3 linked regions of the Callithrix jacchus genome follow. The protein of the gene in region 3 purifies or fractionates together with the protein of the main gene of each other region. This does not show direct contact. Links are inferred from orthologs where the notes say so. Each region holds a gene or a part of one and is shown on either strand. Other genes may lie near its edges. The genes, in order: PARK7, TPI1 and ENO1.

Evidence for each region.
Region 1: the proteins of ENO1 (region 3) and PARK7 fractionate together in Homo sapiens (co-fractionation; 3 studies listed by BioGRID). This does not show direct contact. The link is inferred for Callithrix jacchus from reciprocal best matches to the Homo sapiens genes ENO1 and PARK7.
Region 2: the proteins of ENO1 (region 3) and TPI1 fractionate together in Homo sapiens (co-fractionation; 4 studies listed by BioGRID, with this or other methods). This does not show direct contact. The link is inferred for Callithrix jacchus from reciprocal best matches to the Homo sapiens genes ENO1 and TPI1.

What each region holds. Positions count from the first base shown.
Region 1 is NC_133508.1:45,840,814-45,845,001, reverse strand, and holds the start of PARK7 (Parkinson disease protein 7), read right to left. Parts: upstream 2,859-4,188; 5' UTR 2,788-2,858; exon of another isoform or gene 2,281-2,787; intron 1,806-2,280; 5' UTR 1,752-1,805; coding exon 1,662-1,751; intron 1-1,661. UniProt on the Homo sapiens protein: Multifunctional protein with controversial molecular function which plays an important role in cell protection against oxidative stress and cell death acting as oxidative stress sensor and redox-sensitive chaperone and protease.
Region 2 is NC_133510.1:21,142,163-21,146,172, reverse strand, and holds the start of TPI1 (triosephosphate isomerase), read right to left. Parts: upstream 2,847-4,010; 5' UTR 2,830-2,846; coding exon 2,604-2,829; intron 1,416-2,603; coding exon 1,292-1,415; intron 1,212-1,291; coding exon 1,127-1,211; intron 1,053-1,126; coding exon 920-1,052; intron 621-919; coding exon 535-620; intron 265-534; coding exon 177-264; intron 51-176; coding exon 1-50. UniProt on the Homo sapiens protein: Triosephosphate isomerase is an extremely efficient metabolic enzyme that catalyzes the interconversion between dihydroxyacetone phosphate (DHAP) and D-glyceraldehyde-3-phosphate (G3P) in glycolysis and gluconeogenesis.
Region 3 is NC_133508.1:46,727,871-46,731,415, reverse strand, and holds the end of ENO1 (alpha-enolase), read left to right. Parts: intron 1-3; coding exon 4-205; intron 206-1,276; coding exon 1,277-1,385; intron 1,386-1,671; coding exon 1,672-1,730; intron 1,731-2,583; coding exon 2,584-2,653; 3' UTR 2,654-3,020; downstream 3,021-3,545. UniProt on the Homo sapiens protein: Glycolytic enzyme the catalyzes the conversion of 2-phosphoglycerate to phosphoenolpyruvate. In addition to glycolysis, involved in various processes such as growth control, hypoxia tolerance and allergic responses.

The sequences.
Region 1 (4,188 bases), about 890 kb from region 3:
TTGCAAGTTTACTATTGCCATTTAAACCTCATGGTATTTTTGTAAGACAGAAATGCAAGTCAAAATATTGAAATACTACTTTATCTTTCAAAAAATTTTAATGAGCTGGCACTGGGAAAGTGGGAATTTTCCTACACTGCTGGTGGGACTCCAAACTGGGACACTGGAGAGCAACTTGGCAAAACCTAATCATGCTGACTAGGGGCCATCCTTCGACCTAGTAATTCTACTTTTAGATATATAACGTGGAAAAACTTCCACACATTTGCGCAAGAAAACCTACACAAGAACAATTATTACAGAACTGTAATGCTGTAATTAGAGGAATGGGTAGATTGTGGCATTGAGTGCAACACCAAGCAGCAATTTTAAATGAATAAACTGAATTGACATGTATCTTCATTTGTGAGAACCAGAGGAGTATAGGGTTAACAGACTCTAGGGCCAAACTGCCTGGGTCTGAGTTCTCGCTTTTGTACTTACTATGTGACGTGGGTATTTTAGTGTCTCTGTGCCTCAGTTTCTTCAATCATAAAATGAGGATGGCAATATCTAACTCACAGGCAATACCTAACTCATGTTGTAAGGTTTATAAGCACTTAGAATGATGCCTGGCACAGAGTGAGTTCTACTTCAGTGTTCACTATTGTTAGATATAGAGAGATAATATATAAACACTCAGAATGAGAACCATAGTCAACTGCTACCTTAAAGACATGCATGGATGGATACACAATAGTGCGAGGAGAGCAGTTATCTTTAAGGAAGGAGGAAGGGGCACAGGATTGGAGAAATTTACAAAGAAGGCTTCAAATATATTTATTTGAAGCAATTGCTCTTTAAGAAATGAGGCTGAGGGGCCGGGCATGGTGGCTCACACCTGTAATCCCAGCACTGTGAAAGGCTGAGGCGGGTGGGTCACTTGAGGCCTGGCGTTTGAGACCAACCTGGCCAACATGATGAAACCCCATCTGTACTAAAAATACAAAAATTAGCTGGGCATGGTGGTGGACACCTGTAATCTCAGCTATTCAGGCAGCAGAGGCAGGAGAATCTCTTGAATCTGGGAAGTAGAGGTTGCAATGAGTAGAGATCATGCCACTGCACTGTAGCCTGGACGACAGAATGAGACACCATCTCAAAAAAAAAAGAAAGAAAGAAAGAAACGGGTCTGAGGACAGTGGGGTGGCTCACGTATGTAATCCTAACACTTTGGGAGGCCTGAGGCAGGTGGATAACTTGAGCTCAGGAGTTGGAGAGCAGCCTGAGCAACATGGTGAAACCCTGTCTCTAGAAAACATACAAAAATTAGCCAGGTGTGGCAGCATGCACCTGTAGTCCTAGCTACTTGGGAGGCTGAGGTGGGAAGATGGTTTGAGCTGAGGAGGCAGGGGCTGAAATGAGCCAAGATCATGCCATTGCACTCCAGCCTGGACGACAGAGCTCAAAACAAAAAAGAAATGGGTCTGAAGGAAATATGTCAAGACATTAACAAGTGTTAAATGTTGGCAGTGGATCAACAGGTATTTATTCTTAAGATCTCTGAAATTTTGTGTATAGTTGTAATATTTCACAAAGCACTATGAATATTATTTTATTCGAAATGATTTAAAAATCCAAAAATATGTAACAGGATGGCTAGAAATCTGTGTGGGACTTACCCCAGCTCGCCTCATGACATCTACAGGGATGACGGTCTCCATTTCCTCCGCTCCTTTAGCCAGGATGACCAGAGCTCTTTTGGAAGCCATTTTTATGTTTTAAAGGCTTAAAAAAAAAAGTTTCAAAAAACTTTCAAGGCAACCCTGGAATACCACAACATTTAAAGTTTAGGAACGTTTTCAAGCAGAATTAAGTACTTCCTAGGGAAATGGTTCTGACAGACAACTGAATATAAAAGCAGCAGTTTAGGTTAAGGTTGATTTGCATAGAAGCTTTCATTGTTTTGAGAAGAAAACACAGTGAGGGCGTTCCGAGGTGTAGTGTTGCTTAGAGTTTTCTACCATGTTCTCTTAAATCCAACTTTAATAATATATTGCAAATGGGCTTTTCTAAAATACAAGTACGTGGGTCTCACATTTCACACAATGCGGGCGGACAGTCTTCTCTGAAGTATCAGTTCAGAGAAAAGATTAAACTGAATTTCATGGGCAAAAATTTAAATATGGTCTTTTGCAATTAACCTGTAATTTTTTGGAGGGGATTTTTGTTTTTAGTTCCAATAACCGTACTAAAAAATTGTGTGTGGGGGGGTCAACGGTGTTAAATGTCTGAACACACTTTTTTTATGACTGAGAAAGATGGAAATCCGCCTCACTGATGTTAACCCAACTTCATTCTGCCTCTCCGTGCACAAAGTTCTCACTGCAAACGACAGCAGCTCAACGAGGTTCTCAATTTTTTTTTTTTAGCCTATTTAAGGTTATCTGGAGATTTACCGTCCACGCAAAACAAAACGAGTTTCATAAAAACGGTTTCAACAAGCAGGATTAGCCAGTTCCATGCTGGGCGAGAGGTTAGGCAGAAGATTCTGGACGCTTCAGCGTTGCTACCACGCTGGCGGTCAGTCAAATCCAACGCCAGCGACAGGACCCGACTGGAAGGCCGGAGGCGAGGGCGGCCCAGACCCAGGCCCCGCGCCAGGGCTGACCCAGCGGGACACCGTCCAGCGCCCCCACGCCGCCAAGCGCCACGGCCCAGACACGCGCCGCGCCCCCGCTGGCCCTGATCTGCACCCCGCGCCTCTTCCTGCGGACGCGGCACCCCGGCCCGTCGGGAACCACTCACCCTATACCAGGCCGAAGGTGGACGCGCTCCAGCACGCACGCGCGCCGCCCGGCCTCCCTCAGCCGCACATTGCGCAGACTCGCGCGCCTTGGCGTCACACTGCGTCAGGTCCGGCCGAGCCTACCTCGGACCGAGGCGGGGGTGGTGCCGGGGAGTTTCTAGTTGAACAGGACTGAGTGAGGCGGCTGGCACCCGGATGGAACCCTCTACGAATGGCACAGTCTGGCCTGCCCGGGCGCCCGCAGTGCCTAACCGTCTCCGCGGCCACCGGGGATGAGGAGCGGGTCTCTGGAGCGGCGGAGGCACACGATGTGCCGGCAGAGGGCTTTCTTTGTTCGCGCTGCGTTTACTTCTGTTCCCTCTGCGTTGTTCCTCCTTCCTGGAGGGCCTTCCCGTTTCGCCCGTGGCCTGTTAGGACTCTTGTCCAGGCCTCTCTGGGCCTCTCCCCACGCCTGGTCTCCGGATCTCGGGCGACTCTGCGCATTTATTCACACCCGATGTCTCAGGGGTGTGTGTTTTTTTCCTTAGCATTGTTTTTTCAGCATCGTTTTTCCTTGTGCAGTGGCGCGATCTTGGCCCACTGCAACCTCCACCTCCCGGGTTCCAGAGATTCTTCCTTAGGCTCCCGAGTACCTGGGATTATAGGCGTGCGCCAATACGCCTGGATAGTTTTTGTATTTTTAGTAGAGATGGGGTTTCGTCATATTGGCCAGGCTGGTCTCGAACTCCTGATGACCTCAGGTGATCCACCGGCCTTGGCCTCCCAAAGTGCTGGGATTACAGGCGTGAGACACCGTGCCTGGCTGATACTTGCCTTTCTTTGCCTGGCTTGTTTCACTTAACATAATGACCTCCAGTTCCATCAATGTTGTTGCAAATAGGATTTTATTATTTTTTATGGCTGAATAGTAATCTATAGTGTATATTTACGTTTTCTTTATCCATTCATCCATTGATGAACACTTCTGTTGATTCCATATTTTGGCTGTTGTGAACAGTGCTACAATAAGCATGGGAGTGCAGATATCTCTTTGATGTACTGATGTCCATTCTGTTTTGGTTTGTTTTGTTTTTTAATACTCTCCATCTTGCTCTGTCACCCAGGCTGGAGTGCAGTGGCACCATCAGGGCTCACTGCAACCTCCGCCTGTGGGTTCAAACAATTCTAGTGCCTCAGCCTCCCGAGTAGCTGAGACTACAGGCGTGTGTCACCACACCTGGCTAATTTTTGTATTTTTAGTAGAGACAGGGTTTTACCATGTTGGTTAGCCTGCCTTGAACTCCTCACCTCAAGGGATCTGCCTTCCTCAGCCTCCCAAAGTGCTGGGATTGTAGGCATGAGCTATTGCTCCCAGCCATTCCTTTCTTTTTGATATATACCCAGTAGTGGGAGTGCTGGAA
Region 2 (4,010 bases), on a different chromosome or scaffold from region 3:
CACATCAGGCTGGCTGGCCAGCTCCTTGCAGGTTGCCCCGGTCACAGAGCCTGGGAAGGGAGCAGAACAAGGGCTTGGTCAAGGATGGGATGAGTAGCCCTACCCCACCTCCATGTCCCAGGGCTCAGTCTTGCCCTCAGCCCACTCCACCTCAGCCGCGAAGCAAAGCCACTCACCTCCATAAATGATACGGGTGCTCTGAGCCACTGCATCAGAGACATTGGACTTAAGCCACCCTCGGAGCTTCTCGTGTACTTCCTGGGCCTAGAACAAGAAGCTAGCCTTATCTTTTCTGCCTCTCTAAAAGGGAAAATCAGTGGCACCAGTGGACACTTAGTATGGTTTCTGAGTCTGAGTCTGAGTACCAAGGCTCAGATCCAAGCCAGGCCATGGAATGGATGCCCTTGGACAAGTCACTGTCTCTGGGCTCAAGGTTTCCCTGTCTTTAAAATAAGGGGTTGGCCTAGGTGGTCGGTCTGTCCAAACCTGTGGCAGGCTGGGATGAGAGCAGGGCTCCTGGGCTCAGTTACCTACCTGTTGGGGTGTTGCAGTCTTGCCCGTGCCAATGGCCCACACAGGCTCATAGGCCAGGACGACCTTGCTCCAGTCCTTCACATTATCTGCAGGGCAGAGATCACAGTTGGAGGGAAGGGTGGACAGGAAGGAGCTGTCCAGACAGATTCCCCAGAGTATAAAGAATGGTGGCCTACTGCCCCCTAGTGGTCATTGGGGGATTTCCAGGTGGCATCTACCTTGGGGGCTGGAGAAGTGATAGGTACCAAGCAAGGATGCTCACTCCCCCTCCCCCTTTTCCTTTTCTGGATCAGCATGGGGACCAAGACATGCTCCAGGGCCTGACCCTACCCTCTGAGTCTCTGTGGCCCTGGCTAGGTTCAAAGGTCCCTTTCTCCAGAGATACCTGCGATGACCTTTGTCTGCTCGAAAACAACCTTCTCAGTGATGCCAGCTTCCCTTTCATCTAGCTTCTCCCCAATGCAGGCGATTACTCCGAGTCCCTCTGCCAGAGCATGGGCCACTTTCTGCCCAATCAGCTGTTGAAAAACAGACTTGGTGAGACATCCTTCTTGGAAAAATACATCCCTTATCTCCTCTCTTGGCTACTAACCTCATCTGACTCCCCGAAGACATGCCTTCTCTCTGAGTGCCCCAGGACCACCCATGTGGCTCCGCAGTCTTTGATCATGCCAGGGCTAAAGAAGAGAGGAAGCCAAGGCTCAGCAGGGAGCCCACCAGTGGCTTTCCCTTCACACCCTCTCCACCTCCATCTCACCTGATCTCCCCAGTAAAGGCCCCGTTAGACACTTTGTAGCAGTTCTGCGCAGCCACAGCAATCTTGGGATCTAGCTTCTGCCGGGCGAAGTCGATATAGGCAGTGGGGGGAGCACAAACCACCTCTGAGGACAAGAGAGTCCCACAGTGGGATGAGACTAAAGAAAGCCTTCATTCGCCACAACTCCTGACCAGTGCCCTCAGCCTCTTCTTGGTTCTACTCTCCCCTGCTTTTCACCCCAGCAAGATGACCTCTGCCCACTTCCCAGTCAGGCTGGGCCTGCGCTCAACTGGCAGAGCCTTCCAAGTACCCCTGAGAGGCCACGGCCCTTACCCTGCCCTCTGCTCTTTTAACAGCTGTGGCTCCAATTTCCTCGAGCTATTCTGGGCATAGGAACCTCCCAGACTCAGCATTCTCTAGGGGCCAACCCTGCCCCCTTCTAAAATAGCCCATCCTCACCTCCCCTTTACAAGGCAAGGATTTGTAGCAAAAGGAGAAGGGGCCAACTCCTGGGGACTGTATGGGGGCCTCTGGGGCCTTTGGGGAATGAACGAGAAGGGGATGCCTCTTTGGATTAGGCCCGAGGTTCTCTGATTTCGGTTGGGGGTAAGAGGGAAGATGGAGGAGAGCATCCTTTGCCCGTGGGTGGGGCAGAGCTAACTGACTCAGAGGCCTGGAGCGTTCTCGTTTCCAGGTTGGGGAAAGCGGTAGGATGGCTCCTCACTCCCAGATCGCTCAGCCTGTTTGGCACCAGCTCGGTTCCTTCCGTGGAAGGCAGGAGTCGCTCAGGCTGCTGAATGGAAGGGGTCAGAGCTGGGGGCTCATGGGCCCCGAGCAGCTAGACACTGGGACTCCGCCGCAGGCGAGGCGGGGGAGGAGTCTGGGGCTACGTGCGGCGGCGCACGGCGCCGGAGGCCGTGGGGCAGGTAGCGGGAAGCCCACGCAGCCCAGCCTCCTCCCCGACCCCGGCGGCTGCGGTCAGCCTCTCCCGGTCGCCCGCAAAGCCTCGGGCTCCGCTCCTAATCCCGGCGCCTATCGGGCACAGCCCCAGTGCGCGCCCTGGGGCCACCTTCCTCCCAGAGACCCAAAACGCCTTTTCCTCCCCCACAGTCCAAAGGGGCATCACGTGCTCCGCCCTACCCCCTCGACGCACCGACAGGGCTGCGGCTGCGGGGCCCCTGCCGGAACCCCAGCGACCCTCGTCCCGCAGCCCTGCATCAGGTCCACGCGGACACCGGACTCAGGGTCTCGGGAGAGCGCGCTGCCACTCCAGCCCAGGCCCCGGCCCGGCCCCTCCCCAGCGGGGGCTTACCGGTGTCTCCCGGCACCTTGGCCGCGTTCAGAGTGCCGATGAGCTCCCCCAGATTCTGCTTCCTCCCGTTCATCTTCCAGTTCCCACCGACGAAGAACTTCCTGGAGGGAGCCATGGCGCTGGAACCGAGGCACTGAAGGTCAGTGTCAGCGCGCAGCCGCGGCCACTGCCCGCTTATATAGAGCGCCGCGAAGTGGAACTCCGCCTCCTCGCCGTCCTCCGCCATGGCCCGCCCGGTCCCCCGGAGCCCTGCCCCTCGCCCGCCCTCCTGCCGCCACCCGGCCGCCGCCCGGCGTGGCACTGTTCTGACGTTCCCCCTTCTTGTTGGCAACGTTCTAGGGGCGTCGGGGTCTCGGTCGCCTCTGCCACGATTGCGGGGCTTTTGGGACATGGCGACACCTGTGAGCTCTCGCTTGGCGACTTGAGTCCCCCACGGGGCCAGAAGTGGTTCGACGGAGGTAGCTCGTGGCAACCTGGCCCGTGGCCCAAATCGCTCACTGGGGCAGAGAGGGCCCCTCTCCATCAGTGGGATAGAGAACCCCCTTCCCCCGTCGGAGCAGCTGAAGCCCGACTGCTGAGTAAGCACCTTGTACCCAGGGAGTCTACCTGAGTCGATTTGCAGGGCAAATGCAGGGTTCCGAGCGGGAGGGGCAGTCCAGAGAGGTATAGGCCGCCAGGAGTATCCCAACCCTCGCCCCGGCTGGCCAAGGCCTGGCAGGAACTGCAGGGACTGAGACCCAGACTGAAGCCGGCTAGCCCCTAGGGACATTTGGGAAATACTGGGGCTCCTGTGTGACTAGAGGCAAGGGCTCTTCATCCCATCTTTCTTCAGCTTTGTGCCAGCATTTAGTCACTCGACTCCACTTCCCCACCCAACCCCGATTTCCCAAGAACTCTAGAACGACTGGAGTGGAGACCTGCCTATGGGGAAGAGGCGGCAGAGCTAGGGGGGTTTTCTGAAATGCCCCTCTGCTAACCGGCCCTCTTGCTAACCTCGAGAAGGTAAGCCTCTCCCAAGGTATCAAACAGGACACAATTTTAGCTGTTGTAGTTTTATTCACATCATGTATTTTGGCATTTTCCAGAGAAGGACAAGGAAGAAACAGGGTGGGGGAAAGACTGAGTAAGGAGGGCAAGGGGTGGGGGTCCCCATTTCCCTCATATCCCTCTTTGACCAACCACACAGGGGCAAACAGGTGGGGGAGGCACAGGTGCTCCCTCCCCTGGGAGAGGATGCACAAAGCTACACCCACGCGCACAAACGAGACCCCTCCCTCCACACCAGGGTGCTGGGCAGGGCGACACAGAGAAGCAGAGCACTGTGGATTCCAGGGGCAGGGGAAGCAACAAAGTCTCCCTACAGACAGGTGGCCAGCCCCTCCGGTCCCCTTCCTGCTCCATCCCCAG
Region 3 (3,545 bases):
TAGTGGTGTCTATCGAAGATCCCTTTGACCAGGATGACTGGGGAGCATGGCAGAAGTTCACAGCCAGTGCAGGAATCCAGGTGGTGGGGGATGATCTCACAGTGACCAACCCGAAAAGGATTGCCAAGGCTGCAAATGAGAAGTCCTGCAACTGCCTGCTGCTCAAAGTGAACCAGATCGGCTCCGTGACCGAGTCCCTGCAGGCGTGAGTGTCTTCCCGGCCAGCAGCTTGCCCACAGCTGTAGCTTGTGAATCAGAAAAAGGGCCCTTTTGTTGCAGTGATGGGGAATCCTGTTGGCCAATATGTAGGGCACCCCGGAATTTCAACAGGTTTCGTGTTTGAACTCAGGAGCCTTTTTAATTGAAAAGTTGGGGTGGAGGCCAAGGCAGGAGGAGCTCAGGAGTTCAAGACCAGCCTGGGCAACATAGCATGATCCCATCTCTACAAACCAATTGAAAAAAAATAAGCCACAGCCGGGCGCAGTGGCTCACACCTGTAATCCCAGCACTTTGGGAGGCCAAGACGGGTGGATTAGGAGGTCAGGAGTTCAAGACCAACCTGGCCAACATGGTGAAAGCCCCATCTCTACTAAAAATACAAATATTAGCTAGGCACAGTGGCACACACCTTTAGTCCCAGCTACTTGGGAGGCTGAGGCAGGAGAATCACTTGAACCCAGGAAACAGAGGTTACAGTGAGCTGAGATCATGCCACTGTACTCCATCCTGGGTGGCAGAGCAAGACGCTGGCTCTAAAGTAAATATGCCGGGCGCAGTGGCTCAAGCCTATAGTCCCAGCACTTTGGAAGGCTGAGGCAGGTGGATTGCTTATGCCCAGGAGTTTGACACCACACTGGGCAACATAGTGAGAGTGTCTGTTTTTTAAATTAATGAGTTAAGCAGCCTAGGGTGTTGCACTGATGGCCTATTCCTGATTCCTTGTGGCTCTTGACACATGCCTTCATTTTACATGGAGATGGTGGTTGAGCGGTTGTATCTGTGAGGGGCTCTGTCAGGGATCACTAGTCTTTCTCCCATCAAGGGAGGCTGAACCCAGTGTTTGAACTATGACAAGCAGGCTGAGAAGGTCCTGGAGGTGGAAGAGTTCAGAGGAGGGTGAGAGTTGTCCTCTGCTCTTGACAAGCCCAGGCATGGAGAGTTTTAGCCACTGTTGGCCCTGCCGCTGCTCTCCTGCTGGCACTGAGGAATAATGGCATTGGGGTTTGTGGCACCAGAAAATGCACTCATGCTATCTTGGTTGTCTCTTGGCTTCCAGGTGCAAGTTGGCCCAGGCCAATGGTTGGGGCGTCATGGTGTCTCATCGTTCTGGGGAGACTGAAGATACCTTCATCGCCGACCTGGTGGTGGGGCTGTGCACTGGGCAGGTGAGAATGAGCGTCTCCTTTCTTCTCTCCAACCTCAACTTCCTAGGAATACCCAAAACCAGTGCTGCTCCTTGTCTGTCCTGTTTTCGCTCATTTCCCCTGAGTCACTGCCCTGGTTTCGGAGCCTGAACAGAACAGGGCCATGAGCGTCCTTCCGGTGTGATATGGACCCTCTTTCCTAGGGTCAGGTTTAGAAATTATCTCTGACATTATACCCTCTCCCTGCCAGAAATGCCCGTAAAGCCTGTCTGTCCCCTATAAGCGAATGGCCTTTCTTTTCTCCTAGATCAAGACTGGTGCCCCTTGCCGATCTGAGCGCTTGGCCAAGTACAACCAGCTCCTCAGGTAAGGGGGGCTGCTGAGAACAGGGACCTGCACTCAGAGTAGGCACTGCCCTTCCCCAGGGGCTTCTGGCTCTGGGAATGTGTATGGGTGCAGACGCACAGTGCAGACAGCCAGGCCCAGATCAGGCTTAGGTTCAGGCAGAGTTAGGCATAGACCCCGCACCCACCCAGTGCCATCAGAGGCAGGAGCCTGTTCCGCACAGTGCTGCCCTCTTCTGGTGAGGGAGGATGGGACCACCTTCAACAGTTCAGCCATGACCTTACAGCTTTCAGAGTGCCTTCATATGATCTGTTTCAGCCACTTAACCCCTGTTTTGTGGATGTGGAGCCACGGCTTGGAGGGAGGAAGAAAAAGCCAAAGGACACATGGCTGGGTTCACTCATCAGCGCTGCGCGGGCAGTGCTGATCTCCCTTTCCTATCTGTGTCCTTGGAAGGCCCCTGAACACTGGGAGACTTGCCCCCTTTTTTAGTTATTATTTCCTGGACTTGTAGGGAAACGGAACACCCATTCCTGAGTACTCCCTTATTACCCCTTCATTAAAACTGAATCCTGGGAATTTTCAGACATTCACAGAAAAGCAGGTGAACAGTAGACATGGGCTTTTTTGTTGTTTTGTTTGTTTGAGACAGGGTCTAACATCAAGATTCAAGCAGCACACACATTTTCTCTACTTCTGGAGTCTCAGAGCAGCACAGTGTAGAGGGTTTAAGAAGGTGGACAAACTGGAGAGTTCCAGGTTCTCAACTTCCCAGGAACTCCAGGAGGAGTGGGGCTGTGTCTTTGACATCTGGGGTGGGAAAACTTACAACTTGAAGACTAACTTTTCTTTTATCCTCCCCATCTCTTCCAAGAATTGAAGAGGAGCTGGGCAGCAAGGCCAAGTTTGCTGGCAGGAACTTCAGAAACCCCCTGGCCAAGTAAGCAGTGGGCAGGCCAGCCCTTCAGTCGCCTGTTGGCTAATTAGACTCCTCCCCTCTTGTCAGCTCGGGCAGCTCCAGGCCCCCCGACCAACACTTGCAGGGGTCCCTGCTAGTTAGCTCCCCTCGCCCACCACCATGGAGTTCGCACTGCTTGCTTAGAACTTCTACAGAAGCCAAGCTCCCTGGAGCCCACTTGGCAGCCCTAGCTTTGCAGTCATGTAATTGGCCCAAATCGTTGTTTTTCTCGCCTCACTTTCCACCAAGTGTCTGGAGCAATATGAACCTCCAGGGTCATATCCGGGGTGGCCACAGGCAAGATCACCAGTGGTTTTGTGCTCAAAATAAAAGGCATCAGTGAACCATGAGAATACCCTTTTTTGTGTGGCATGTGTATTTGGGACAGTCTGGGTCTTGTCCTTAGTGTTCAGGGGGCCTGCCAATAGGGAGTCAGCCTTTGAAAACTCTGTGCAGAGAACATTTTCCTGTGTCCTTGGGAAGAGAACTTCAGGCAAATGCAAGAGAGGAGACATGCGCTGTCCCCCTCCAAGGTAGTGGGGTCACAACAGGGAGTCTAAGCTCGGAGGCAGAGCGAGACTGTTCAGACAACTCATTTGGAAGAAAATTCAAATGCAGGCCTATGTGTTGATCATCTTAAAGATGGTAGCTACTGGGTTACATAACCATACTGTTCAGGCCAGAAGGACTCCATGGTAAATGTGACCATCTTGGGAAGCGCTAGGATGTGGGTCTCTTCCTGGGGAAAGCAAGTAAAGAAGGATTAAAAGGGAACTCTGGGCAGGAAGGTAGAAGGGCATCCAGAAGACCTCGGGACCCCATTTAAATTAATGAATTGCATTCCTTGGTTTCTCAAGCGTCAGGTTTCATGTACTCGG